Linked DNA regions of Mus musculus: regions 1, 3, 4, 5, 6 and 7 are each reported to be linked to region 2. Evidence: microRNA targets listed by miRTarBase, many of them from high-throughput screens and not tested one by one. Region 2 holds a microRNA gene; each other region holds the end of a gene's coding sequence. Distances are between the middles of the regions.
The links. Region 2 holds the annotated microRNA mmu-miR-7b-5p (UGGAAGACUUGUGAUUUUGUUGUU, at 2,702-2,725, shown strand). A microRNA usually pairs through its seed, bases 2 to 8, with sites in the 3' UTR of a target mRNA and lowers its output. Matches are read on the target gene's strand: a 7mer-m8 pairs with bases 2 to 8, a 7mer-A1 pairs with bases 2 to 7 and ends in A, and an 8mer does both.

Region 1: miRTarBase lists Fzd6 as a target of mmu-miR-7b-5p. Seed matches in the 3' UTR shown: 7mer-m8 at 3,197-3,203 and 7mer-m8 at 2,814-2,820.
Region 3: miRTarBase lists Ubr2 as a target of mmu-miR-7b-5p. The part of its 3' UTR that is shown has no 7-base or 8-base seed match.
Region 4: the mRNA of Vezt is a reported target of mmu-miR-7b-5p. Seed matches in the 3' UTR shown: 7mer-m8 at 2,947-2,953.
Region 5: the mRNA of Tnfaip1 is a reported target of mmu-miR-7b-5p. The part of its 3' UTR that is shown has no 7-base or 8-base seed match.
Region 6: the mRNA of Asb1 is a reported target of mmu-miR-7b-5p. Seed matches in the 3' UTR shown: 7mer-m8 at 2,800-2,806.
Region 7: miRTarBase lists Klhdc10 as a target of mmu-miR-7b-5p. Seed matches in the 3' UTR shown: 7mer-A1 at 602-608.

Annotation. Positions count from the first base shown.
Region 1 is chr15:39,035,872-39,039,936 of GRCm38, reverse strand. It overlaps Fzd6 (frizzled class receptor 6), which reads right to left. Exons shown (of 7, transcript NM_001162494.1): 7 at 1,745-3,551. The coding sequence ends at 3,383. Among named protein-coding and RNA genes, the nearest start is that of Gm7194, 4.3 kb to the left of the region's middle.
Region 2 is chr17:56,240,316-56,244,380 of GRCm38, forward strand. It overlaps Mir7b (microRNA 7b), which reads left to right and starts at 2,673; the gene lies at 2,673-2,783. It overlaps A230051N06Rik (RIKEN cDNA A230051N06 gene), which reads left to right and starts at 1,401. Exons shown (of 2, transcript NR_155493.1): 1 at 1,401-1,499; 2 at 1,841-2,490.
Region 3 is chr17:46,927,014-46,931,078 of GRCm38, forward strand. It overlaps Ubr2 (ubiquitin protein ligase E3 component n-recognin 2), which reads right to left. Exons shown (of 47, transcript NM_146078.3): 47 at 1,278-3,487. The coding sequence ends at 3,346. Among named protein-coding and RNA genes, the nearest start is that of Prph2, 19 kb to the left of the region's middle.
Region 4 is chr10:93,966,892-93,970,956 of GRCm38, forward strand. It overlaps Vezt (vezatin, adherens junctions transmembrane protein), which reads right to left. Exons shown (of 12, transcript NM_172538.5): 12 at 1-3,813. The coding sequence ends at 3,302. Among named protein-coding and RNA genes, the nearest start is that of Mir331, 5.1 kb to the left of the region's middle.
Region 5 is chr11:78,521,757-78,525,821 of GRCm38, forward strand. Tnfaip1 (tumor necrosis factor, alpha-induced protein 1 (endothelial)) reads right to left here. Exons shown (of 7, transcript NM_001159392.1): 7 at 1,094-3,785. The coding sequence ends at 3,549. It overlaps Poldip2 (polymerase (DNA-directed), delta interacting protein 2), which reads left to right. Exons shown (of 11, transcript NM_026389.3): 11 at 38-980. The coding sequence ends at 152. Among named protein-coding and RNA genes, the nearest start is that of Poldip2, 11 kb to the left of the region's middle.
Region 6 is chr1:91,554,156-91,558,220 of GRCm38, reverse strand. Asb1 (ankyrin repeat and SOCS box-containing 1) reads right to left here. Exons shown (of 5, transcript NM_001039126.2): 5 at 1-3,470. The coding sequence ends at 3,343. Among named protein-coding and RNA genes, the nearest start is that of Asb1, 16 kb to the right of the region's middle.
Region 7 is chr6:30,450,415-30,454,467 of GRCm38, reverse strand. Klhdc10 (kelch domain containing 10) reads right to left here. Exons shown (of 10, transcript NM_029742.3): 10 at 1-3,981. The coding sequence ends at 3,772. Among named protein-coding and RNA genes, the nearest start is that of 1700012C14Rik, 8.5 kb to the left of the region's middle.

The DNA of each region.
Region 1 (4,065 bases), not on the chromosome of region 2:
TTTGGAGCAGAAACCACTGCCCAGCAGTGCCTCCTGTCCCTTATGTATGGGCTTTTATGGTTGTCGCCTTTATAAGCAGCCCCTGGGATGGAACCCAACATAGGCACATGTACCATAGGGGTCGGGTAAAGTTTTAAGTTCCTAAAATCTCCCTGGGAATTGACACCATATTTGGATGAAAGCGACATGTATATGAAAGTAAGTGACATTCTGATTTGCAAGTTAAGACGTGAATGCTAGGCAAGGCAAGGCCCCACCGCAGGTGAACCTCAACCAATGGGAACAGGTTGAGAGTACAACAAAGACATTTTCCTAAGGAAGTCCCCTATGCCTAAATCCTGATTGGTGGAATAATTTGGCACAGGCGTTTGTGGATTTCAGGTTTAAAAGCTCCACAGGATACTGGCCTCAGGGTTGTAGTAAAGTCCTGAGTCTGGTCTGCAGCCCTGACTGATCAGTTCCCAGGCACGTGCTCAGTAAACTCTCCCTGTCTGATTAAGATCAGTGTTTGTGTGGTTTGTGGAGTGACTCCTGGACATCAATGATAGACCCTTTCCCCCCCCCCCCCCCCCCCCCCGTTTTTTAGACAGGGTCTCTGTTCATAGCCTTGGCTGTCCTGGAACTCACTATGTAGACTAGACTGGACTTAAACTCAGAGATCTGCCCACCTCTGCTTTTGACTATTGTGATTAAAACCATGTGCTTCCTCCATGCCTGGCCTGATACACTATTTTTTAAAATTATACATGTATGTATTTTATGTGTATTAGTGTTTTGCTTGTATGTATGTCTGTGCACTGCCAGTGTATCTGGTGCCCACAGAGGACAGAATATGGCATCAGACCCCCTGGGACTGGAGTCAGGGATGATTGTGGATCCTCGGAATTGAACTCAGGTCCCTGTAATAAGTGCTCTTAACTGCTGAACTGTCTCCAGTCTCTAGGGTTTGTGGATGGCCAAGCATGGTGGTGTGGTCCCGTAATCCCAGCACTCAGGTGTAGGAAGGACAGTGATCAATCCAGAGGTTGGTCTAGAGTACACAGTAAAATGTAGGCCGGCTTAGGCCAGCAAACCTGTCTTGAAACAAATTCAGAGGGCATAAACAATAACCCTCTTTCTCTAAAAGACTTTCATTTGCTTTCCACTGTGAGGCTCCTAACCCCGGGCCAGAGTCTGGGCTTTCTCTGTCCCACACAGACAGCATGAAGCACGGTGGTTTTCAGGTGGTTGAGGTCACAATTCTAAATTTATGGAAGGCACTGGTCCCTTTCTCCTGCTTACCTAGCTTCACTCTGAGACTCCTTCCATAACACTGTCCACTTCTCTGCAACACTCTGTAGCAATGGCTGCAGACAAGACAAGCTGCAAACCCTGGGCTTGGTGACAGGAATTCCTCTGACCCCGAGTCCTACCTGACAAGTCCTCCCTTTATTAGCTGTTTAGTATGTGGAAAGCAAGACTGCTTCACTGAGGAGGTTTGGTTAAATGATCTGATCCACTGTTGGGAGCAGATCCAAGGACTCCGGCTTGCTTCGCCTAATCTAGCAGGCCTCCCATGGGCTCCAACACACTGTAGGCAATATGGCTATAAAACTACACTTGGGGAAGAAACTGACAATATGCAAGTTCTTCACTGTCTTCTCCTACCTCCGCTGAAAGGAAGCTTCTGACTTCTGCCTTTATCAATCTAAAACGGCTACACTGTTTCTGGGTCAGTACTATATACCTAGCACACAATACAATCTTTTATACAAAGAAAATTTTATTGATGAAAAGAACACACAAAAAAATTTGTGTCTGAAGTTTACATATGTGGAAAAGTTAGTATTTACATTTCCCATACAGTACATGATAATTTTCATTTTAAACTTTAACAGAGCTCCAATGGGATCAAAGTATCTAAGAAAACCTCGCTGGCGAGATAATCCTTAAGGAGGACCAGCACTGAGACGCTGTCTTAGCACCTTCAGTGTCTTCACGCTGCATCTGCTGCACTACACTCTTCCTGCCCAACTCTGACTCTGCCCTTCGCACATTTTCTTTTGCAGGCTTAGATGCAGATAGGAATTTTGCATAGCATCAAAGAAATTTACAACACAATGTGTTTGTACTATTCCAAAAACATTTTTTTAAGTTTAAATTTTTAAAACAGATAAAAGCTGAGTGTGGTGGCTTGGGAGAGATGAGTGGGCTGCAGAGGGGGAGATCTCTGTGACCTGCCTGGGACAGACTGAACACCAGACAGCCAAGGAGCACCACACAGTGAGTTCCTGTCTCGGGAAATAAAATACTAAAATAAAGACAGGCACGAGCAACTACAAATGGCCATAATTCAATCCTAATTCAACACTTAAAAGGGGAATCGACAGCTCGGCCTAACTTGTAAAAACCTACCATCTTACCTGCTGATTTATAACATGCAGAAAGAAAGGGACAGTCCAATCAGGGAGGGACCTGCCACCAAGTTCCTCCTTTTGGGGAAGGTAGGGGTGGCTGTGACCACTTCTTACAGACCTTTCAGTGTGACACCCACTCTTTTTACTGTAAAGAGGCTGCTGTACAAGTTTTTTAAAAATCCAGTGTAACAGCTATCACAGTCGCAAAGTAGCTAAAATAGTAGAAAAACATCATAAAAATATTTGATTCAATTCTCTAGGATTTTCAAAAGTTCAAATACACATAAGCATATTTTCAAATTCATATCTACATATAAAGGTACAAAAGTTTTAAATACTTCAGCAAAGAAAAATCTTGGATTTATATAAAGAGTGAAAGAGCATATCTTAAAATACTTTAATGAATCTTCAATAGAAGGAAGACTCCTCTAATGCCCTTCCCATCCCCACATTTAAAAAGTGTTATTAACTGGGCACTCCTGGTTGGTTTTTTAGGTATAAATGCATTATATTATTTTTGAAATCTGGGCTGTTGTTTCTTTCAAGTTTAAAAACAGACAAAAGGCTGGGCAGTGGTGACCACACCATTATTCCCAGCACTCGGGAGGCTGAGGCAGGCAGATCTCTGTAAGTTTGAGGCCAGCCTGGTCTACAGAGGGAGTTTCAGGACAGTCAGGGCTAGCAAAGAAACCCTGTCTCAAACAAACAAACAAAAAAACAAACAAACAACAACAAAAATAACAGCAACAAAAATAAAAGCCAAACCAAAAAAACAATAGACAAAGCTGGTTTAAGTGCAAGGAAGACTGTAACAGTGAATTTTCCTTTTGCAGTGCTGGGAGACAACCCCAGGTCCTCAAGTATTCCAGGTGGGCGCTGTACCACTGGGCTACTCTCCCAGCTCAACAGTGGCCTTTATAAGACAAATCAGTTGGTCATCTCCAGTGTAACATACATGTGCTTCTGGGGGAACGAGACAGTTTTCTTCAAGCGTCGGAATGGCTGCCAGCACCCTGCTCTTTCCTAGCTCTGGAAGCTGAGTGAACAGGCAGAGATGTGGAGCCCTTGAGGCTGGTTGGTTCTGGAGAACTGGCGGCCTGTGAAGTGCTGCAGTCTATCAGGCCAGTCTCAGGAACGCTGCTCTTTGGACTTACCCTGGAAAACACGAGTGTTTATGTGCACAGCAGAAACACAGACAGGATGTTAGTTATCCTCCTAACCCTGTGCATTCATCCCAAAGAGCTCTAGCAGGGGATAACCCACGCAGCTCCTGGGTAGCCCTTCAAACCACAACCCTGCTGACTTCACACACTTTACCAAGTGCTATTCCTGCATGGCCGAGCACTGCGTCTCACAGCGGACACAATTACTGAGGCAGGTTCCTGCTGCCCGGCTACTGAGGCTCCATCAGTGTTAAGATGCATTAAGAGTTTAGGGCCACACTGCTGGGCATGGTGGCACACACCTTCAATGCCAGCATAGGGAAGGCAGAGGCAAGTGGATTTCTGAATTTGAGGCCAGCCTCGTTGGTCTACAGAGCTAGTTCCAGGACAGTCAGGACCAGGAACAAAAAGATGACCAAGACCTCAGCTCAAATCCAGTGAGGATGAAAGCATCTGGCTAGTTACAGCTGGGTGTATGGAGGCATCGTGGGAACACAGTATGTTCT
Region 2 (4,065 bases):
GAAACCTGCCAAACAGCTTCCCGTAGCCCCAAACGATTCTCCAGCGTGGCAGTGGTGATGCCAACCTTTAATCCCAGCACTCAGGAGGCAGAGACAGGTTGATCTTTCTGAGTTTGAAGCCAGCCTGGTTTACACAGTGAGTTCCAGGACAGCCAGGGCTACACAATGAAGCCCTGTCTCAAAAAGCAAACAAGCAAGCAAGCAAGCAAACAAACAATAAAAAGAACAAGAATTCTCCAAAGGTTTAAAATGAATTAAATTAAATGTGGGCTGCAGGACCCACAAGCTCTCTGCTGACTTCTATGCATGTACTGTGCATGTGCACATAAATAAATAAATAAATAAATAAATAAATAAATAAATAAATAAATAAATAAATCTTATAATTTCAGGGAGATGACTTAGCTCTTTGAGGGACTGCAAGGCTCTGGGTTCATATCCAAATTGAAAGAATGGGAAGAAATAAGAGAGAAAAACAAAGGGCGTGGGGCATGCAAGTTTTACCCAAGAGACTGCTAGAAGGGAAAGGGACAACTGATCAGAGCTTAGATCTTGCAGGTGGCTTTCCAGGGTCTCATCCCAGGTTCCCTGCAGCCCCTCCTCCCATGCCCCTAGGGTGTATAGAATGAACCTGGCTTGCCAGCTCCGCAGCCTGAGGAGCTGGTAGGAGATTTACAAGCCTGAGTGTGTGTCCTCCCTGACTGTCTGTCCCTTTGGTGCTACAAAGGAAGCTATGTAAATGAAGGTGTGTGATGTGCCACACACCAGCCTTCCCAGTGCTGAGAAGGCTGAGGCAAGAGGATCACAAAAGTGAGAGAGACTGTGTTAGAGGGGGGAAACTGTGACTAGGGCTCAGGGACAGAGCGCTGGCCCAGCAATCAGAAAGCACTAAGTTCCATTCCCAGCACTGCATCAATCTAGTGTGGAGGCAAACTCCTGATGGGAGCCTGAGGCAGGAGAATCATAAGTTTGAGGTCATCATGGACTACAAATCAAGACCCTAACTCAAAACAAAACAAAAATCGCCAGAGCTCCGCCTCTATCCTACGCTTCTGTGAGTCTCATTCCCGCACACTTCATCTTCCCTGTGTAGAATTGGACTTTATTTTCAAAATCCCTCAATTTCTTCAAACATTTTTTTTCAGCTTCTCTGTCCCAGCAGGCACACGCTTGATGATCGCTAATCCTCTGGCTACTCAGTGATCAGGTTTTAGATGATCCTCTCGTGGAAACTTAACAGGCCACAGGACTACACCCTGACACCTTCTGGAGACCCCTAAAGAAGTTTTTGGACGGATGCCTGACTTTTATTCTGAAGCCGAGGCCTCAACCTATGAGGTAATCCTTGGAGCTTCATTCCAAGACGATTCCTATTGGTTCACTGGCTAAGCCCCACCCAGGGTTTCCAGCGCTCCGCCTTCCCCTTAAGCGCATAAAGGTGAAACGTCGGAAACTGGACAGCCACCGAGACACCTGCAGCTGCTGGTGAGCAGGAGAAGGTAAGGCACGAAGGAAGGAGGAAAAGGTGCGCTGAGGGAGGGAAGCGGGGACTCTGGGTACAATGCAAGTTGGCACATCTTCCAGAAGGCCAACTGGACTGTTTAGGAAGGGCAGAGAACCCAGGGCTGTCTCCCTGAGATGTGGGAGCAGGTGAGAGCCTTGCGCCTTCGTCCCCGCCTAGAACACCCCGGGTCCATGGGAAGAGATTAAAACAGAAGATGGGTCCCTAGGACGAAGAACAGAAACAAGGAGCGGGGCATTTTGGCAGAAGGCAGAAGCTGGGAGAGTGTCCTCGAGCCGCACTGACCACCCCCTCCCCCAATAACTAATTATGTTTCAGCACTGGAGACGCGGACAGCGCCATCCGGCTGAGGGACTCGGAGCAGAGTTCGGCTTCAGCACCAGGATTTCGGACAGCTCCCAGCGGGTCACGAAGAGACTAGGCTTCAGCACCCGGCCCCTGGCAGTGCCAAGCTCTCAACACCCAGCTTCAGGGATCGCCTTGGGGTCTGTTCTGGCGGAGAGTGTACAGGGAAGGAACCTCTTAATGGTTCTTGGCATTTGTCCTTTACGGAGGGATTTTTTTTTTCTTTTTTGAAACAGGGTTTTTTTGTGTGTACCTCTAGCTGTTCTGAAACTCACTATGTAGACTAGGCTGGCTTCAAACTCACAGAGTACAGGCGAAGCATTTGGTCAACGAGATGTTATGAGTGCCTCTGGGTGTACTAATTTCCAAAGTGAAGTGGTGAGGGGAAAGCCAGCCTCAATCCAACTTTAAATCTCAAGTTCTTTTTATTTTTAAAAAGAGTTTTTCTCTCAATTATATATATAATTATTATTATTTTAAAACACTGTAGACCAAGCTTTGAACTCCTTGTGTAGCCAAAGATGATCTTGAAGTTCTCATCCTCCTGCCTCTACTCCCTGCGTGCTGGGGTGACAAGTGTGTGCTCCTCGTGCCTGGAACAATAAATCCCACGTTGGTGATGTGCCAGGGTGTGAGTTGGGGGGCAGGTAGAGAATGAATCTTGCCTGTGTCTCAGGGGATGGAATGGAAAAGGGATGTCTAGGGAGGGTAAGTCAGTGAGTGGGGTTTGTTATGCTCAATCCTCTATGGAGAGAGAGAGAGAAGCACTTGAGGGTGTTGAACCTGGCGGAGGAGGATGAGGACGAGGAGCGGAGTACGTGAGCCAGTGCTATGTGGAAGACTTGTGATTTTGTTGTTCTGATATGATATGACAACAAGTCACAGCCAGCCTCATAGCGTGGACTCCTATCACCTTTCTCCTGAAATACACAAACAGGTAGGGGCAGGAAACTGGGACAGGAGGGGGTTAAGGGAAGTCTAGCACGGACAGGAGAGGGTGTCTAGCAAGGTCTCGGGCCCTGGGAGAGTGCAGGAGTGTTTCCCATGCTATTGGCCTGTCACTCAAACACATCTACATGATAGGATCAGAGACACAACCTCAGGGCCCTGGGTCACAGCACCGTGCTTTCTCTGGAGACTCAAATAGGGAATGGTGAGCCAGTGGAGTAACTCAGAGGGAAAGAGTGCTTTGAAATTAGGGAACCCAAGCTTGAGCCCCAGGATCAACTGGGTAGAAGGATAAAACCAACTCCTGCAAGTTGTCCTCTGACCATACATGTCCTGTGACACACATGCTTCCACACACAAATAAATAAACACACATAAAAATTTTTCTTTTTTTTTTTTTTAAGAGAGGGTTTCTGGGGCTGGTGAGATGGCTCAGTGGGTAAGAGCACCCGACTGCTCTTCCGAAGGTCCAGAGTTCAAATCCCAGCAACCACATGGTGGCTCACAACCATCTGTAATGAGATCTGACTCCCTCTTCTGGTGTCTGAAGACAGCTACAGTGTACTTACATATAATAAATAAATAAATCTTTAAAAAAAAAAAAAAGAATTACATTTAAAAAAAAAAAAAAAAGAGAGGGTTTCTGTATATAAACCTGGCTGTCTTAGAACTTACTCTGTAGACCAGGTTACCCTCAAATTCAGAGATCCACCTGCCTCTGCCTCCTGAGTGTTTGAATTAAAAGCATGTGCATACATAAAACTTTTTTTTTTTTTGGTTTTTTGAGACAGGGTTTCTCTGTATAGACCTGGCTGTTGCTCTGTAGACCAGGCTGGCCTCGAACTCAGAAATCTCCCTGCCTCTGTCTCCCAAGTGCTGGGATTAAAGGCATGCGCCACCACTGCCCGGCCATAAAACTTTTAAAAGAGGGATTGGCATCAAAGGTACTTCTAGAAAACCCTGAAATTCTTTTCTCTTTCTTGTTTTCTTTTCCTCACTCTTTTCACTTTGCCTGCTTTGAGACAGTGTCACCTGTAGTCCAGGCTTTTCTCTAACTCTGAATGTAGCCCAGGATGGCTTTGAACACTGAGTTCTCTTGCCTCCAGTCCCTGAGAACCATGCCTAGCATACACGGTGTTGGATTCAGAATTTCAAATGCTTTGACTGGGTACGGTACCCATGGAGCCCCAGCCCAATTTTCAATAAAACTCTGTGCCCGCCACACAAAGCAACCACTAGTTGCATGACTG
Region 3 (4,065 bases), 9.3 Mb from region 2:
CTCGACTTTATAAGGATTTTTAGAAACCCTATCTCTTGTATCCCAGGCCTCAAACTCATGTACTTGAAATGACCTTGGACCCCTGATCTTCCTGCCTTTGCAGCCCCCCTGCTGGGATGCAGGTTGTAAATACTATAGTAGCTTTTGTGTTGCTGGGGGTGGAACTTAGGGTTTCCCAAATGCTCAGTAACTAAGCTATGTTCTCCAGCTCTAAAATGCACGAGTAGCAGAGAAGCTGCTGGGAAGGCACCTCATGTGACTCCAGTCACCTACGATTCTGGAAGGGGTGCAGGACAGAGGAGTGAGAGGCAGCACTCAGGGCAGGGAGGAGGGGACCACAAAGGGGTGTGAGGGTATGTTCTGCAGGGACTGCTCTAGTTCTCAACTGTGCTGGTTAAACAACTGTGCATTTGCCAAAATGTAAACAACCCTGTATCCTTAAAGAGGGTTAATCTGTCCGTAAAGTATACCTCAGTAAACATCACTAGATAAGGGTGGGGTCAGAGCTGGTGGGTTATGGTGGCACAGGTTTTTAATCTCAGCATTTGGATTTTTGTGAGTTCGAGGCCAGCCTTGTCTAGAGTGAGTTCCAGACAGCCAAGGTTACACAGGGAAAAAACCCTGTCTCAAAAAACCAAACCCAAACCAACCAACCAACCAACCAGATATAGTTAGTTAGATAGATAGATAGATAGATAGATAGATAGATAGATAGATAGATAGATAGATAGATAGATAGAGAGCCAGCAGTCAGTGAGAGGCAGCTGGTCTAGGGCAGGAGTTAGCCTTAATGACCAGGAGGTGGGAAGCCCAATGGAGACCCTGGTGTTTGACAGTGTCCCATGGAGAACTTGATGTTTTGACTCAGTCTGGTAAGAGAATTCTGAGAACACAGCAGAATTCCACTCTGAGTCGTCTCCTTCTTGAACACATCGCAGAAGCCAAGTGTCGGGTGGGTGTAGAAGAACAAGGACCTGCAGGGAAGCAGGCAAGGCTGAGAGAGTCTCCCACAGACCTGCTGTGCACTGCTCTGCGGTCCAGGGGCCCCAGACTTCCCACTCTCACAGACAACAAGAGGAAAACTTCATAGGCTGAGCTAACGCCCATGCCTCCCAGAAGGTCAGTGTGGCCTGGCTAGTGGTCATAGCTGACACTAATAGTTTAAGCTTCTTAAATTTTAGGCTAATATCGATGTCCCACTTTTGCAGCAAGGTGACACAAGGAGCTTTGCTGGGGCCCCGTGTGTGCGAATGACATGGAGAAGATGGAGGCAAAACTCAATGTCAACACTAAAGCATTTATTTGAATATCTTTACTTTTTACATATGATACATCCCAAATTTTACAATTGTCCACAGATATTAAAATTATAGCCAATTTATTAAACACATGATCTCCCCTGATATGGAAAGCATGGTATATAAACATTTCTACAACAAAAACATGCGGAACAAGTGGAAGTAAGACGTGTCGGTAGGGGGAGGACATGACATTGCCACAGTGTGAGGACTGCCATTCCCTGGGAAGTCACTGCCCAGACCCTGATGTTCCCAGGAGTGAAACACAGGGCCACCTCTGCTAATCCCAGGCTCCTGTGGAGTCAGGTGAGAAAGCAGATGTTTTCAGCCTGTTTAGAAGCAAGCTGTGCTCATGATTTTTTTTTTTTCCTTTTGGGTTGGTACCAGGGCTGAACCTAGGCCCTCAGTCACACTAGGCAAGTGTTCTAGCACTAGGCTCAAGTCTAGAGACGTTCCCATAACTTTACAGTTAAGCCTTGTGAACGGAAGGTGAAGAGCCAACAGAAGCTGAACTTAAAATCTAAAGAAACGGCATGTGCCAAAGGTCGAAAGCATCACCATCCACAGCCCAGTCTGACTATGCCAAGGGAAGGCGAGACAAAGGGAGAGCACGGAGTCTAGCTTGGGCTTCCATTACAAACTCTCTGTCCTGAGCCTGGGCCGCGCTGAAGAGCTAACTGAAGTCCATCCTTTGAAGGGGAGGCAGCTCCTCACATGATCCTGGAGACTGTGCTACCTGCATTTCTTTGAGCCTCTGGTCTGGATTTCTGACTCTCCTGAGACACGGAGGCATGGATAGAGCTGAGTGGATGTGATTTGAAAGGCTGAGTGAGAGGTTCTTTGATGGTTAGAGAAGCTGAAAGCCCCTTTCTGTTCCTGGAGACTGGAGTTCATCCCTCTGCTGAACCTGCTGTCACCATGTCTATGTGACTTCTCTGAATGTGACGGATATCCGTCAGACGAGGAAATAGGTGTGCGGTGTGCCAGAGCCGTAACTGTGGCACCAAGTAGCTATAGTTCTAGAAAGGCTGCTCTTAGAATAAAAAGAACAGGCGTTTGTGTGCACAGGCTGAGGAATGTCCTAGATCAACCAGCAGACAAGCAGCAACACATCTGATCCAGATGCGGGGCGGAGCGGGGCGGGGCGGGGCAGGGCAGGGCAGGGCAGGGCAGGGCAGGGCAGGGCAGGCAGCTCAAAACACTGCCTTCTGGATTTCGTTTGGTTTGAGACAGGGTCTCCTCAAGTTACCCACGCTGGCCGCAAGCTTGTAACACAGTTGGAGCTAGCCTTGAACTCCTAGTGCTGCCTAAGCATCCTGAGAGCTGGGATTGCAGGCTTGGAGCACTGTACTCAGCCGAGCTCTTACTTGTCTGCTGTGGTCTGCTTGAGGGTGCGCACATGCTCTCTGTTTAGCCTTGGAGCAGAAGGCTATAGTCTGAAAAACTAGGAGGTCCTTTACATTTCAAAAAGCCCTTTAATTGAGTAATGCTTTCAAAGCTAAAAGTCTTGACCAACCATCTACAGCCATGAAAAGCCGGCTGCTCTCCTGTTAGAGTCCCCAGCTCTCTAGGCCATAGGGGGAAGCGAGTCCTGTCTTCAAATTGACTTGCTTTGCTCTGGAGGTGAGGTCTAGTCCCAGAGCTGAACCGCATCCCAGTCTCAGGAACCATGGTGGGACATGTCCTCCTGACAGGCCCCAGGGCTCCTTTTGGCCTCTGGTGGACAGCCAGCAAGCTTGACACCATCAGCAATGTTGACTGGCTCAGGCTACTGCAGCTGAAGCAGGCAGCGTCCAAAGGAGCTAGACTCCGGTCTAGAAAGGGCTCTCAACCCAGGGGACGTCCGTCTAAGGGACACAGCAATAAAATCTGGCAGAAATGACTTTTATCAGTCCCTGGAGCCAGACTAGAAAAATAAAACTGGGAAGAAAAGCTTAAATAAAGAATTTATTTCAAAATAGATTCAGCCGAACTTATTTCCTGTTGTCTTTCTGGAAAAGCCAGCTGTGTTACAAAACTCCAAGTCAAGTTTTTAGTAGAGGAGCGATTATAAATGCTGCCAGTCAATTCCGACCAGGGTCTGGTTAGCCTCCTGCGCGTGTCCGATCTCCTCTGTGATACTATGCTGCTGCCAGAGCTTCTGGATCTTTCGAAACCGCTCTTGGCATAAATGTAAAGGATTTCCTCGTCTAGAAAGAGACACATGTCACTCACAGGCACAGTTTATCCATTCCTCATGTCCCAACACATTCTGTGCCAGGAAAGGTGTACAGCACTAGCTTCCAACTGTGTATTTTCTGTATACACACACACACACACACACACACACACACACACACACACGCACGCACGCACGCACGCACGCACACACGCACACACACACACACACACACACACACACACACGCACACACGCACACACGCACACACGCACACACGCACACACGCACGGTGTTGGGTTGTGGGTATGTGCTGAAGAGAAAAGGTAGGTACTCCAGTGCCACACAGTTAGACTGAGGTCAGGAAACAGGACTGCTGGCCCAGGTCTGAGTTAAGAAGCTAAAACTCTTTATTCTATGGTGATGTGCAAAAAGGTCGTGGGGCAAAGGACAGGGTGGAAGGATGACAGGACAAGACAGGGGCTGTCACCTAGAAGCCTCAGCAAGGTAACTAGATGCTTGCTGCTGCTGGGCCCATGTTAACAAGATAACTAGACACCTGCTGCCCCTGGGCCCACGTTAACAAGGTAACTAGATGCCTGCTGCCGC
Region 4 (4,065 bases), not on the chromosome of region 2:
ATGCTAAGCAGCAAACCAGGCAATACAAGGTTCATGCACACGACCGACAGAAAAGCTCTCGGCCTTTTCCAGTCTACTTACTCTTAGTTTAGACACAGTTCTAGCAAGCGTGGCAATCGGGTTTCTCAGTCCACAGCAGATTAAAAGCAGCAAATTAGGGGCCTAGTGCGGAAGGCAGGCACACAACACGGCGGATTATAGGGGAAGGTAAGAGAAACTGTGAAAAAAACAGACACGACTCAAAAAGCAAGCAATGTGAAATCTCGCAGCAAAGGAGTGCCTGACGTTATCAATCCCAGTTGTCCCCGAGAGGGGACGTGTGCATTCTTCCCCAAAGGAACTGATGTCCCCAAAGGACAGGCTAAGCTAGTTCCGGTTCCCAAAGGACAGGCTAAGCTAGTTCCGGTTCCCAAAGGACAGGCTAAGCTAGTTCCGGTACGTGCCAGAGTTAAGGGAGAAAAGGAGACGTGATCCTGTAAGCAGACTGTTAAGTCCAAGGACTAAATACATGGGCTTGCTTTTGTTCCCTGAGAGATGAGGGGACTCAAGTTAGTCACCAGCTGACGAAGACAATGAACGGTCACTATACTGGACATTTTGCTGTCTTTTATTTCCTACATTTTTCTTTTTGAATCTTTTTTTCTAATTTAAGCATAAAGTACAAATAAGTCCCCATACACAGATCTGGAAAAAACTCACTTTTGGCTTCAGGACTTGGTTCTGGTATCCTTGCTCTATTTGAGTATAAAAGCAATATGCTATGGCTAACTGATAACAGCCCTCCCCCTAGTGTTTCTATTCATTTAGCAACTTGAAGCATGATTCATGTTTTGCATGGGAAGAAAATATCTGAGTGACACAACCTGAGGTCAATTCTATCAACACCCAGCCAAGTTCTAGTCTTTTAAATGGATCAGAAATTGACTTTTCTTATGCTTACCATTCAAGCAACTGTCTTTTAGTATATAAAGTAGGATATTACTATCTACTTTAATAAATGGAGCTATACATTTATAACTTCTCCAGCCTCCAAACCAACATTTCTTTCTGCATTTCCAGGAATTACAGTTTTCCTGAGAAGACTCTCCCTAGATGATAAGGTCACAGTACTTGAATCCTCTGAACAAAAGGCCTGGGATTCAAACTCCCGCCTCTTTTTGCAGACACCTGGCACCTGTTGTTTTCTTTTCTTTCTTTTTTCTTTTCTTCCTGGACAGGTTCGCACAGTGTATTTCTGGCTATCCTGGAGCACGCTCAACTGGCCTCGGACTCGCAGTAGCCTTCCTAACAGTGCACCTGGGGTGCTGGCATCACCAGTACAAGTCGCGTCACGGTCTGAAATCTGTATTCTTAAACATCCTTAGCAATCTGCCTTAAATGTGTGTTCTCTTCCTAACTCACTTATCATCAACTCCTAATAGGTTCAGATGCTGTGACTATTAATTAGTTTTAAGAAGGACAACAAGGGCTTTATGAAGTTAGATAATATGCATAGCTTGCACAAAAAACCAAAAAACCCAAAAAAACCAAAAAAAAAAAAAATCACAGAGGACTGCAAATGAAAGATTAGCCAGGACTCTGGCCCTGCATCTGACAGACATCAGGGCCTTACAGAAACAGAGAAAAAGTTTTGAGGCTTGCTAGGTGACCACAGACCACTTACTGTCCCGACCTGCCCATCTGCTAGGTGACCACAGACCACTTACTGTCCCGACCTGCCCATCTGCAGATGCACCAAGGGTAAAAATTCTGTTTTCATGAGTGACCCCAAAACAAAAAGCACGCTTTTTTTTTCTTCTGAGTTCTAGATTGATCCTGGTAAAACCAATGTTGGCAGTATCTGTAGTAAAAGCTGTCAGAATACTACTCCCAAAAAGATGAATCATGCTATAAAAACTGGCAAATAAGATTATGAATGGGTTTCTATGAAATTGCTATGGTTGAATCAAAATAGACTAAAAGAATTAAAAATGACTAAGTTTTCCTGTGTTAAAAATTAAGAGAACGCTTAACAAAATTTCCCTAAAAAAACTTCCTTTTCTCTTGAAGTTAAGCATCTTCCATGTCTGACTTAAGGGACTGACGGCTCTGGCCATGCTGCACTGCTAAGTATCAGCAAAGGCAACATCACCAACAGTGTAGACAAAGGGAAAGATTTTCCTCAGGAGAAGAAACAGTTCCAAAAACAACAACAAACCTTGAGAAGAAGTAAGCTTCCTGCTAAAAGCAGTAAGTTACAGGAAGTCAGATACTTTCCTCCTGAAACAGCAGCATCAACTGAGTTTTGTTGTTTTGTTTTTGTTTGTTTTTCTTTCTTACATTCCTCACAGAAGAATGCCTATAAAGTCTGGGAGCGCACAGTGGCAACAGGTTTCAGAAGGAGACTGTTTCTGCAAATTTCATTGAAAACACAATTCCAGCACAAAGCGGACAAGACTGGTCTCTGGAAAGCATCTCGAGACGCATTCACGATGAAGCACAAAGGGACAAGGATGCTTTCCAAGATAGCTGACGCGTTTCCTGAGTCTTAGTAAGGCAGGCCAGGCTAGAAGACAGCACAGGACCTACCTACTGCAGAGGCACAGTTGTCTTCCAGTAAACTGATGTAAATTAGTTCCTGCAGGGCTGGGGCTGGGGCCTTTGCTGGAGTGACAGCGCTTGGACATCATGGGGTGTCCCCTAAGAGGACATTGTCCTCTTAACCTCTGCATGACCCGTGAGAAATGTCCAAGATACGCTGCAGTCCCAGCTCCCTGCTAACTACTTTCCAGTTCCAAACCCCAGCACACATCGGTTGTGGTAATTAAATACTTTTATTTAGAACCTGTCTCTTTGTTTTACGAGTGGTATAAACAAAATAAAGTACGAACAATGTATTAACATGACCGCTGCAGTTCACACTGCAAGGACACAGTAGAAAGGGCTCATTCTAAATGTTTCTGCTCGGGAAGACAATCACCCTAGTTACCTTGTGGCAGCAAAGTTTTGGCAAAAAGTGATAAATTCATGTCTTATTAAAAGTACTTAAAGATTTGCCAAGATTATCAGTTTTGCCACAAATAAAACAGCAGTTTATTTATTTATTTTTTAAAAAAGTCCCTTACCTTTCTCTCCTATGCCTAAAGGATCTGACTAGACAGGTATCTACTAGTTTCAGGTCAGGTTTTCAAATCAGTATTCACCCTGTAAATTCACGCCGTAGCCTTATAGAGAGTAAACACACACTCATTTCTCTTTCCAGTCTTGCAGCTAGAACACTTTTGTAAAAAGAACAATCAAGGCCATCGCTTCATCTTGGCTTTTATTTTTCCTCCACCTCATTTTCACCGCCTTCAACTAGCTGTTCTTCCTCCTCGTCGCCAAAAGTTTGTTCCTGCATGGTGGTAAAGGACAGGGACCGGGCGGCCACTTCTGCAGCCAGGCCAGCAGAGAAGGTGAATTCTGGTGGCAACTGGAGTCGAGCCAGCCTCTGCTTAATGGAGAGTTGCAGTGTGTCCCTGGGAGTCGGAGGGGCAGTGGCCCCCGCAGCAGCAGCCTGAGGAGACTTAGCCTCACTCTCATGCTGGTGGCACATGGTTTCCTCGGCTCCTGGAAGGAGGAGGCCTGTGTCTGCAGAGGTGTCTTTGCTTGGCCCCTCTGTTGGGCTGTCACACACATACTCAGTCCTACTGTCTTCCTTGTCGCCGGCACAGGGCTTACTAGTCTCCTCTTCAGTAGCATTACTATTGACTTTTTCTGTATCTGAATTCATGGGTGGTTCTGAGTTACTTACAGATTCCACTGGGTCTACAGGAGACAAGGATGTCAACACAGCTTCAAAGAACAGAAAGAGGAAAAGAAAAGAAAAAAGGAAAAAAAATAACTAAGGGCCCAACAACTTTTAAATTCCCACTTATTTTTAAAAGGAGCAACAAATAAATAAAAACACAATAAAACTTTCTAGTAAAATAAATGTAACTTTATAAATATGGGGAGTTTTTTGAGACAAAATACCTAAAGAAATGAAACGAGACGGGGACTTGCTGAAGAGTCTGCAGTTCCAAGGCAGTGCTTCTCAAAGCACGG
Region 5 (4,065 bases), not on the chromosome of region 2:
ACCTTACTCCCTCTAAACCCGCTTCTCCAATCCTCAGGGGCACATTTCGTTTTGAGAGACCGGATGGCTCCCACTTTGATGTCCGGATCCCACCATTCTCCTTGGAAAGCAATAAAGATGAGAAGACCCCACCCTCAGGCCTTCACTGGTAGGCCAGCTGAGGCCCAGGTTGGCCCTAAGAACAACAGCTCTCAACCCATAATTGCTGCAGAACTCTAAACCTCTCCCTACTGTGAAATTCTTTTTTTGGAGGGAGATTGTAACTTTTCTTGGAAGACCCACATAAGACTCCTCCAAGGTTGGCCTTGGCCGCTGTCCAGGACACCACGTTCCAGCAAAGCTGTCAGGGAACTGTTCAGTTGTCCCATGTTTTCTGGAATGTGAGGTGTGGTCAATAAACCAGTGCTCACTTGGCCACCACGGCCATTTTTGTCTCCAGGGTCTCAGGCCCCCTTGCTGGCCCTTTAGGAACTCTTAGTTGCTTTTCATGCAAAGTTTCTTCTAGGGAGCTGCTGGCCCTGCTAGGGTGCGCCTTCCTCAGAGGCTGGACATCTTGGGGCACTGGTAACAGTGAGCAGCACTGGACTAAGTTCCGGGTCTCTCTACCCTCCGCCCAGTGTAGAGGAGGCCAGTGTAGAGTTGGACTGACCTGACTATAGACACGGATTACCCACCAGCACTTCTGGCTTCACTAGGCCTGGAGAAGAGTGAGGCAAAACCAGTCAGGTTTCTGGGAACTGTGGGCTTCTGAGCATTGAGCAAAGCCTGTCAAGCATCCAGACCACAGGGGCAGGAATTCAGCCAAGAAGCAGCTTAAGTTATGGTCAGTGACCAAGTCAAGCTGCTTTTGGAGCTTCTTTCAGGCCAACAGGAGCCAGAGAATTGGACTGCATTTTGCCCCAGGTCTTAGGATTCCTTCACCACTATAGTTACTGTTAGAGGTCCTTTCATTCTTGCATTATTAAATCTCAGTTCTAGTCCTTCTGAGTATTGTTCTTAATCTTCCACCAGGGGGAGTGTGGGTCTGTAGGATTATAGAGGAATGAGTCTCTTGACTACCTAGAACACAAGGTCATGGAGGGAACAGAAATAAAAGAACTGAGCCCACAGCTGTGAGCTGGCCAGGCTCTGCTCACTGGAAACATGGCTCAGCAGTGTAAAACAACTTTATTAGAAGTTAGTGTTTACTTCCATCACTTAAGGTAAGCAACTGAGACCGCAGGTATGTAGTAAAGGGCACATTCTTTCCTGCCAGAACCTGTGTTACCCTTCAGGCCAACCAGTCACATGTCCCAGGTTCAACAGCACACAGCTGGTGTTTGTGAGCAGCGTCCAGTCTGACCCTCATGCATGTTTTATGTTTAAGTCCCCTGGACTGCCTGTGATCAAAAAACCCATCCTGCTACAACTCCTTTAGGACAGGGCTGGTAAATCTCACGAGTCCAGATCACTTCAGTATTATTTCCTTAAACCAAGGAGAAATTTTCAGTCAAAGAAGATGAATGCCCAACCCGGGACTCCTGCTATGTTTCCTCAGCCCATGACTAGACAGCACTGAACAGCAGAGGAGATGGATGTCAAAGCGCCTCATGGAGGCTAAAGGGGGTGTGGCGGTAAAGAGACAAACTGGAAACACCGCAGGGGTCTGAGAATCTGAGTGTTAAAGGCTTCTAGGGGACAGCTGAGAAAACAGATTGGTGGCCTCATGCTGTCACATTCCAAAGTCTGTGGGAAAGACTGAAAGCCAAAGCCTCTATTTGGCCAAAAAAGTTGGATTGTCATCTTAGTTCCAGCGAGATCTGGACGAACTAATAGTTGCTCGTCACTAAGGTGCCTGACCCAAGCATCTTAGAGCTATTTATACATTCAAGATCGTGATTAACATAACATGCCTGATTATTAAGTCACATTTCCCATTTCCCCTTGCCCTGTCAGGCTAGATCCTTGTGAGAGCCCAACCCTGGGCTTGGCATCTGCCCATAGGCTCTAAGAGGTGAGCCTTTGTGTGCCCATGTGGCAATCATAAGAGTAGTCAAGGGATACAGCTGATAATCTGTGGCCCTTCTTGGGCACTGTTGATGGGTACACACTTCCTTAGGCTTACAAACAGCCCCCTCCAGTGACAACATTCCTCTGGATAGAATCCAGGTAAGAGAGCCAGTCCCAACAAAGAAAGGGAGGGAAACCAAAGCGCAAAGGAAGAATTGACACCAGGTCTAGATCTTGGTACATCCGTGGTCAGTGACCCAGAAGAAAGGTCTTTCAAAGGCTTAGGTGGTCCTAGTTACTATGTATTTGGAGATGCATCACTAGGCAGAACCAGGACATAAACTGAGACATAGTATCAGGGGCTGCAGCACATCTGTGTCTTAGAGCTGAACATACCCAAGTATGAGGCTCACACCAAAGAATCCTGTTAAGTCTGAGTCAGTGATGTGACCCTACCCTTTCCCCACAGGATGCTATTAAAACCATTTTCAACTTGGACGTCCTTTCCCTCTTGGTATTCTTTGGGTAGTCAGGCTGACAAGCCAAAGCTGGTCAGTCTACTTTTTTTTTTTTTTTTTTTTTTGAAACAAAGCCTATGTAGCCCAGGCTGGCCTGGAACTTTTAACTACATAGCACAGGCTGGTCTCAAACTTGTGATCCTCCTGTCTCAGCCTTTCCTTAAGATTGTGCAGGAGGGGATCAGTGTCAGAAAAAGCTTTGGGTCAAGGCAGAATAGATTCCCCTGAATGATAGACATACAAAGTGCTTTAAAGATGGGTCCTAGGATACTGAAAAGGGTGGAGTGAGTGTGTGAGTGTGTGCCTACTAGGTGGGGTCCTGGCACTCTGCTTAGTCCTAGCTTTCCCCCCAGACTAAAAACTAGTCATTTCGTAGATACCTAGTGAGTGTGGCAGTACTGGAGATTGAGCCCAGGGCCTCACTCTTGCTAGGTGAGCCCCCTTTTTAAAATTTTATATTGAGGGCCTTGCTATGTTGTCCAGGCTAGCCTAGAACATGTTATCCCACCTCGGCTTCTCCATAGCTGGGATTATAGGTACGGCCATGCTAACATCTAGATTTAAAAACAAACAAAAATCCAGGTTATACCAATGTTTAAACACCTTAGGAAAAAAAAAGGCCACTTTTTCTGTTCAAAATTGGGTCCTCGCAGCACCAGAAGCCTCCTTTCCCCTAGAACAAAGCTGTTCTCGTGGGCCTCAGCTGAGGAGCTAAAGGAGCTCTTCAGAAGAAAGGGGCACTCAGCCAAGGGCCAGGGGGTATTCTTGGCAGGAGGTGGGAAATCAGTGCACTCACCCTAGAGCAGAAGTAGCTCCTTATTGGCAGGAAGTGGGGTGGCATCTGGAAGTGCTGGGGGGAGGGGGGCCAGCCAAGACAATGTGGCCTTCCCTCTCTCAGCTCCCCAACCTCCCAAGCAGGGCTGTCACCTGTACATACTAGAGCAGGCTCCCAGCTAGCAGGAGCAGCATAGGGTGGCCAATGGGTACGTTCCACAGGGTGGCAGACAGGACTTCTTGTGCCCCGATTTCTTAAGGGTCTCATCAGTCACGATGAGTGGACTGATGGCCAAGTTGCCGGTCATCGTAAGTGCTATAGCGCTTGACATGAATGCGACGGACACGGTCCCGTAGTTCAAAGGTGTCTTCATCTTCACTGGGGGAAGCCTGGCTGCGGCTCCGGCTTGTGGCCTCCAGTAAGGAATTGTCAGGGACTCGAGGGGTCTCATAGAGTAGGACATTGAGTGTTTCCTCATAGATACGGGCCTCTGGGAATTCCACCTGGAGTGAACAGAAAAGACAGAATGAGGTTTCATTTAGTGAGGAAACACCTAACGTAGGAGTCAGGTGGCTGCCCGGCTAACAAGGGAAGCATGAGGGGGCATGAGAGTATAGATCGACACCTCTAGCTACCCTACAGCATCCCACAACTGAAGACTAGTATGCATGGGTATATCCAGGTATAAGCACAACTCCATGGGCTTGGTGCCAGATGAAGTCTGAGCTTTCTGGGCTGTAGTTCCTGTTTGTGTAAAGTGGTGCCAATAGCTACCTTTGGTTT
Region 6 (4,065 bases), not on the chromosome of region 2:
GTCATCTGATCCCTGCAGGGCAGGATTAGTCTCCAAGTGCCCGGTGTGCAGGCACCAAGGAGACACAGGTACCAGCAGACCACCACTGGTGACATCATCACCAGCATCCTAGGTGCCACTGGTTCCCAAGGCCTGAGTGAAGGACAAGCAAGTCTTACCAAAAAGGCCACACTTTCTGTGGTGACCTCATGGATCTGGGGTGGTAGAGGCGCTTCAAAAGCATGTCTAGACTCCTCAGGTCGCGCACAGTGGTCCTCCAGCTTACACTTAGACCCCAGGCCATGGGAAAGCCACAATGCCTTTCACCACCAGGAATGCTACTTAGGATCTAAAACTTCCTCATTAATATGTAGCATCCACTACAATCAGACTGTGCCAGGACAGCAGCAGGCAGAGGTGAAAAGAACACTGCTGTGGATCCCAATCAAAAGTGTTTTACATGCAAAGCCATAGCCCCATACCATCCCTTTCCAGCAAGCCTTCTGTTGTCAGGAATGACATGACTGAAGAATAAAAGGCAGTCCAGTCAGCTGAGGAAATTTGATTTCCTCAAGTACTACAAGCCACCCTTACCCTTTTGCTCGAATGGCTCTCTGTTGGTGCTGCACTGTGGGTCAAGATGATCCAACCGCCCCACAAGGTCAATCCCAAATCCAGACTGTGGGCTCTCAGCACTGTGACCACCGTAAGTGCACTTCCACTAGGAAGCAGTTTTCTCAGGACAGAGACCCCTCCCAAACAAAGTGTCTGCAGCCTCGGCACTTCACAGGACCTCAGCAGGGTCCCTGGAAAGGCACAGGAAGAGCTCTTCCTGTCTGCTGCAGAGCAGACACTGCTCCAGGAACTGGCTGAGCACAGGCCAGAGCAGCTCTCAGGCATGAAGAACTTCCCTCCGCTCTGGCCCACAGTCAGGACTTTATCTTTCAGGAAATTTTTATCTAAAAATTCATTCATGAAAGTGAAAAGGGGAAACTCTGAAATAATGGTCCTTAAGCCTGACATCAGTACTGGTCAATATTTGAAAAATGCCAATTATCTACTTTACCAATCTACTGTCAAAACAAAATAAGACTCTCCAGCTTAAGTCCTCTTATGGAAAAAGAATATGAATAAATAAATAAATACAAAAATATATAAACAAATAAATACATAAATACATAGATGATAAGTAGATAATAGATTAATAGATAGATAGATAGACAGACAGACAGACAGACAGATAGACATCACAAGTAAAATAGCTACAAAATGTATGGCATTGCCTTGGCAGGTTTCTGGACATATGTCTAAAAGCCCAATACTGAAAAGATAAATTCTGAGGGATCATCACTGGTTCCAACCTGCCTAGCCAAGATTCCACTACACAAGTCTTCACTTAAATCAAGTGGCTGCCCCAGTAACAGCAACAACCCCACAAATACCCCTTTGATGAGCTGGGACAACCCTCAGGCTCCTTCCTCTGGACCACTAAGCTCTTCTGCTAGGGCCAGTTCAGCCAGAAGGCAGTAGGTTCATCAGACACCCACATCCCCATGCTAGGAAGGACACAGGTAACCAGAGCTCAGAAGTCTGCTGAGTAGAGGGTCAGTCCTCACCGAAGTCACATCAACTTCCTATGGTACCTCTCATGAACCTGGGGTGCTTCTTACCCCGTACCTCATCCTTGACAGCAATGACATGCAGTGCCTTCATAGCATACTGGCGACAAGGGGAAGTGCCCTCAGTCCATGCCGATGCTGTGTCACATTCAGAGTTACCGGCTGGAAATTCTGAACATGCAGAACCTTGAAGTGATTGAAAGGTTCTGAAAACTGGTTTGAGACAGGGAAAGCTACTCAAGTCCAAGTGAAGAGCTGTGCTGGGGCCACACAGAACAGCTGTGGGGAGACAGGGACAGGCTCTGGCCAGCTCATTCCTGCCCCAGACACAGGACTCACTGTCCAGGACTGGGCAAGGCTCATCAAAACTCATGTAGTACATTTGGACCAGCTTGGTGTTGCTGCCTTGGGCCTTCCTGAGGCACTGGGGTGGGGTTTGGAACTCCATCCACAGAATCCCAAGGCTACCAACTGCCTGACTGGTCAGCTAAAACACAAAATGGTACACTAGGAAAGTATTAACAAGTTAAATCCCCTTTATGGCCAAAAGTCTAAACAGATTTATTACCTGCTTGTCCCAAATATTCTCAAGTCTATAATCAGCAAGGTCCACACAGTAATCCTAACAGGCTTCAGAATGACAAAAGGTGACTTCACTGAAACAGGAGCAACCTAAGGATGCTCAAGGCCGTGGTTATGGGCCCACCTGCTGTGACACTCACCACTCAAGAGTTAAACAAACCTGCAATCCTGCAATAAGCTCATCTCTCTCACCCACCAACAGCCCTGGGCAGGACAGGGAAAGACCTCTAGAAGCACCCACAAAGGCATTGGGTCAGAAAGTGGGAGGAACAGTCACCCAACACCTAGATATCCTGTCTAGTGGACACCAAGAAGTTGTAGCCTGGAACCACCCAGGTGACCAAGACATTTTCCACTTCCTGTATGGGAGTGTCTGAAGAGAGCACCCGTGTCATCTTCTCTTGTGAGGACTGGCAGTGAGTACTATTAAGATGGTCCCTGATCTGAATGTGGGCAGTCACTTAATGGTTAGTTCCAGGTGGGTCTCCTAAAGGTAACCACTGTCTGAAGATCCCCAGGGTAAGACATCAGAAAACCCTTGGCAGAGCAGATGGTGCCCTATGAACACTGTTCTGGGACCTCTGTGCAATAAGATAGAACCCCAGAAGCCATCTTAGACGGAAGACAACTCCCAAAATAGAACAGTGGCAGCAAAGAGAAGGGATGTGCACCAGGCAGCATAGACAGACAAACCCAGGCAAGAAAGCAGGCTAGCAAGTGCACGAACCGAATTCCTTCTCCCTATATCTTTTCTTAACAAACCTCTTTCTGTTTTGATATCAAGCCTTAAAAGAACAATAAATTGCAAAGTAGGAACATAAATAGATGCATAGCCTGGAGAAAAAAGCCTTCCCCACTAGGGCAATCACCAGGCTCAGCCCATGCTGCACACATTGCCAGGAAGAATCCAAAACAGAGAGACTGAAGAGGAACAAAATTAAGTTTGTATGTGCCTCTCAGTTGACAATGACTCAAGGAGCGTTCGATGGCCCAAGCACCTGAGATAGAATCACAGTCCAAGAGAACACAGCCGTTTCTTCTTCACTGACAGCCAAGGATCAAGCTGGCAGCACAGGCCATGGTTCCCAGGATGCCAGAGTCTGTGTCAGTTTTCACTGCAGGTGATCGGCTTCCACATTGCAGTCAGCACTGCATGTGAATGCTACTCATAAAGCAAAAACTTCTTTATGGGGTCTGGCAGCGGCAGCGAGGGAACCAGATGCAGTCGGTATTTGCCAAGAGCTCTTCTCACAGCCACCCGGCACAAACTCAGCAAGGTCCTGGGAATACCTGGGGAGTGTGAGGAGAAAGAGGAGGGAAAGGTTACTTCTCTCGTAACTCGGAAGGCCCAAAGCCAACCTTCCTCATCTGAGTCGAGGAGGCTCTGGGAGCTACTAGAAGGCTTGCTATCTGCATCTTAGCCAGGGCATCTGCTCATCTGTCAGCCACTCCTCCCTCTGCAATGCTTAGTGCCCTGGAAAAAGGCCACCCATGGAGGACCCACAGATGAGAACAAATGACCTTCGCTCTTGCTCTGTCCCAGCAGGTCACAGAGGCCTGGGGACACCAAGTGCACAGTACTTGAACTCAGAGATTAGGCTGCCGGTCTTCCTGCCTCGATGGAAACTACACAGCTAAACCCCTGCTTCAGGAAGGGAAGGTGACCAGAAGAAGCTTCCTTCTGTTCCTGGTTCCCACCCGGAGGCCATCAGCCAGCACCTTGGAGAAAAGCTAAACAGGAACATGTTTCTGAGACCTGGCTTGAGTATAGCTAACAAAAACACACTGCTACTAATGTTCTTTGAGAAATAGAGGACCAACGACAAACTATCAACTCATATGTCCTCTGACAAGATGGGAGAAGTGAGGGGTAGGCATCAGGCAG
Region 7 (4,053 bases), not on the chromosome of region 2:
AAAGCTACCAGAGCTCTAAGGTACCTGGGGACCAATGGAATTTACACCTATGGTAACCAGCTCTTGAAAAGCGTGGCTGTAACAATAAATCCTCCTGCATTCACCCTGAAGCCCAACACCAGGAAACAACAGAAAACAAAAAGGAAAATGGCTTTTTGTGCTACGTCAGAGTGTTGGTGGGAGGGCCACTCTCTAAGCATCACTAAGACCACAGAACAGCAAACTGCTTTTACAGGGGACAAAACCAACACAGTCCGAGAGGACAGAGCACCCTTGCTGCACACCAGGACATCAGACTGCAGAAGGTGACTCCAAAGGAGGAAACAAAAAAGCAAGCTTTGCCAAGAGCCAGGAAATGTGCTCAGACAGTGGGGTTTCTGTTTCTGTTCAACACAGCCTGTTCATCCCACAGGAACTAAGAGTTCTCTCTGGTCAGGAAGCAGCAGAGAACTCAGCAGCAGGCTGTGCTCAAGGTTCCCACCGGTGGTCATTTTCCTACCAGTGTCTAAGTTAACTGGGAGCCTGGCCTGGCTAGCTGCTGGCCCTTCTTTGAGCTTCTTTTCCTTCTCTGACTTCTCGTCCCTTGAAAAGGGGATGTGTGTGGAAGAAGGACAGGAAGGGACAAGATATGTAAATCAACTGTTTGAAGGAGAAGGCTAAACACTGATTATCTATGGATTTCGATTGTGTGTGCTTTCACCTTGCTACAGTGGATAACGAAAGATCAGTCATACTTTTAATCTAGAAATGTTAATATTTTCATCATATATATAATTTTAAAATCTAGCTCTGTACTGGACATGAATGCTATAAAGCAAGCTTTTATATCAAATCATTAGGCCCTGAAAGATGATTTCTGCCAGTGGGAAGGAAGGGTTTTGTTTGTCCTGAAAAGCAGGTAAAGTTTCAATCTATTATATACTGGTTTGCAGTTTTCTGTAAAGTGGAAAATACCTTATCGTAAAGAAAACATCATTTAATAAGGTATTACATTCCCAGATAAGTTAGCGTATATGGGGGGGGGGGCTGTATTAACATTAGGTTTCAATTCTCTACCTGGGCAACACTTTCAAGTGGACTTCCTTATTCCTGGGCAAGACATGCAAATGGGAGGCAGTACAAACAGGGATGGGAAACCCTCAGCTCCTAGCAAACTGAGGAACAGACCTTTTTTTTTATAACTAGAATAAGAAAACATGGACCTGAAAGAAATCCAGCTTTACCAAGAAGTTGGCTTATGATCACACTAAAAGTTCTTGGCATAATTCTACTCTAAGGTAATAAGTTGACTTGCCCAAGACAGGTACAAAGAGTGGTGTCACTGCTTTACACTCGTCGATTCTACATAATCTGTACAGACCATATGTTTCTACATATTGCACTTCTACTTCCAGGACTGCAGGAAGATGTCTGGGCGCACCTCAAAAAGGCAGGGGGGCAGCAGGCATCACAACCTTCCCACACCAGGTGATGCCACTGGGAATCCCGAGTGCTGGTTATAGAGAAACCAAAATGCTGGTGACCCTTAGAGAGGATCCAGTCACCTTCCTTTAAGTCCTTCTCCACAGTCATTTGGCATCCAGAACATGTGCGTGAGTGGCTGCGGCATTCAGCTGCTTCCTGCACCACTTTCGCTAGTGTTCTATTCAAAGACACTTTAGACCCAACATGCACTTCTAAGATACAGAAGGTCGTTGATGTCAGGCCTCCAACATCCATCTCAAAGAGACTGCCTTCAACTGGCTTAAAAAGGATGCCAACAAGTGTTGGCTTGAATCAGCCCCCTTTCTACAGCTTTCTAGTGTAACAGAACCAGAGTCAGCCTCAGTTGTCCAAGGACCATGGGAGTCAAAGCACAGAGGCTGAACATTGCCTTTGGTCCCTATATAAACCAATGACAAATATCCTTCTGTCACCCTAGAAAACATGGCTTATTTAGTTTGGGATACACTTCCACCATGTGTCCAGGAGACCTGGCCCAGAGTCACAGTTTTGAGCACACAGTGGCTCAGGCTGACTTGCTCTGGAGAGGGGTCTTATGAGGAGTGCGCCTATCGGTGGCAGGAAGTAAAAGCCACACCAACAGGAAGTGGCCAGAGCTGGGGGTTAAGACCCCAGAAACGCAGGTCCATCCCCTCACTCAGAGATAAGGGCTTCACTCAGGACCACAGAGCAAAGGCTCCACTAACTTAACCCACACGGATGGAGCATAAGGCCTGTTGGGAGCCAAAGGGAGGAGACCTCTCTAAGACTGCACACCGGGCAGGAACGTTTTTTTACTGTAACTCAAAGGTGACTTTTATTTCATATCAACTAAAGAGATCTCTTTTGGGCTAAAAGAAAATGAATAATATTAAAGCTAGGTGGAAAAGAGGCACTTAAAGGAAAAATGTGTTTGAAATCTCCTACATGTCTCCTCTGCAAGGAGCCTGCAGGGGGGACTGGCTGCACCCTCCTGCAGGCCTCTAGCATCCTGACTGCACCTATGGACACCCATAGGCTTACACAAGTCACTCCTCAGCTCTTCTAGCTGCCTGAGGACAAAAGGAGTAAAAACGTACGTTACTTTTCTCTCCAGAAAGGAGGAAACAAAATCTCTCACCAACAGAAGCGAATCACCCTGTCTCACCCCTTCCTCCTGCTGGCTCTCCAATGACCCCTGCTTCTTGAGAAGGAGACCCTGTACCTTTTCCCTTAAGACCTTCCTCCAGTCACTAGGCAACCACAGCATCGTGAACACAGAAGCGGACAGCAAAGGAGGCAACAAGCTCAGGAGGCAATCAAGAACCAACAGTTTAAGAAAACGCAGGGACATGGTCCAGAGACTTAAAGAGAAACAAGTTCTAAAAAAGCAGCAGCTGCTATGCTAGTCAAAGCCAGCACCCCAAGCAGAAGGTAAGACAGTTAAGCCTGAAGGGTGCGGGTGCTGTGCTCTATCTACTGTCCGTAGACATTTACATCACACACTTAAGAGTCTACAATCCCCCACCAAGAAGTCAAAGACATATTTAAAGCCATTAATAAGCACAAGGGAAGTTCAGAACTGCCTGGAAAGAACTTGATGCCATATACATTTAATTTGAGAGACAACAACAGAGGGTGATGATGACAGACACACTAAACATTGGCAGGCCAACGCTAACCACCGGAGCGTTACAGGATTGAAGGGATCGCTAATCAGACGTCACTGAGCTGCCTGCTAGTGTCAAGGTCAGGCATTTTTACAGCAAGTCATGAAGCACCGTTGAGTCCAGCCACTCCGCACATCTCAGAAACACTAACTCAACATCCAGACTTAAGAACAACCTGCTAGGCTACCAAGACTAGTGTTCTCGCTCTATCTCCCAGACCAAGAGTTGTTGTTGCTGGCTTTTTAAGCTTTGTGTTTGTTGATGATATTTTAATCTGTAGTGTTAGTTGACATGGTCAATATGCTCAGAATTAAAAAAAAAAGGCAACAATTTCTCTCTCTTGATTCTTAACATTATTAAGGGACTTTCAGACATTCCCTCAACTCCATCAAGAAAGAGGGAGTGCATAAGTGTGGGGTGCATTATGAGGGGCAGGAGGGAGGGGAGCAAAGAAGAAAGCACATGAGAAAGTGAAATGTCCATAAACTAAACCCATTCACAAAAAGGCATCTGATGTATTTTCTGAATAAGGCCTTGATCAGGGTAGCCAATCCTCTTTGTAGCACATTCTACACTGCCCATAAATAAAGGAGTCTCTTTAAATTAACATTTCCAGTATCAATGAACAGTCCAGAAATCTTCATTTCAAACGCTCGATGAGTTCCTGTGTGAGTCCAAGGTGCAGGAGCTGTGTTCGGGAGAGGTTTGCTAGGTTGGGGAAGGCCGCGAGCAGCTTCTCCCATGCCAGTTCCAGCAGGCTAGGTACCACCAGCCAGATCTTAAACAGCGACCCAGTCCGTTTGTTTTCATGGATGTTCACCACTCCTCCGTGGATGTACATGCAACCAGCCTGTGAACAAATGGCAGTGAGAAGACGACAAAGTCAAACACCAGAGCAAGAGTGACCAAGGCAGACTCAGCA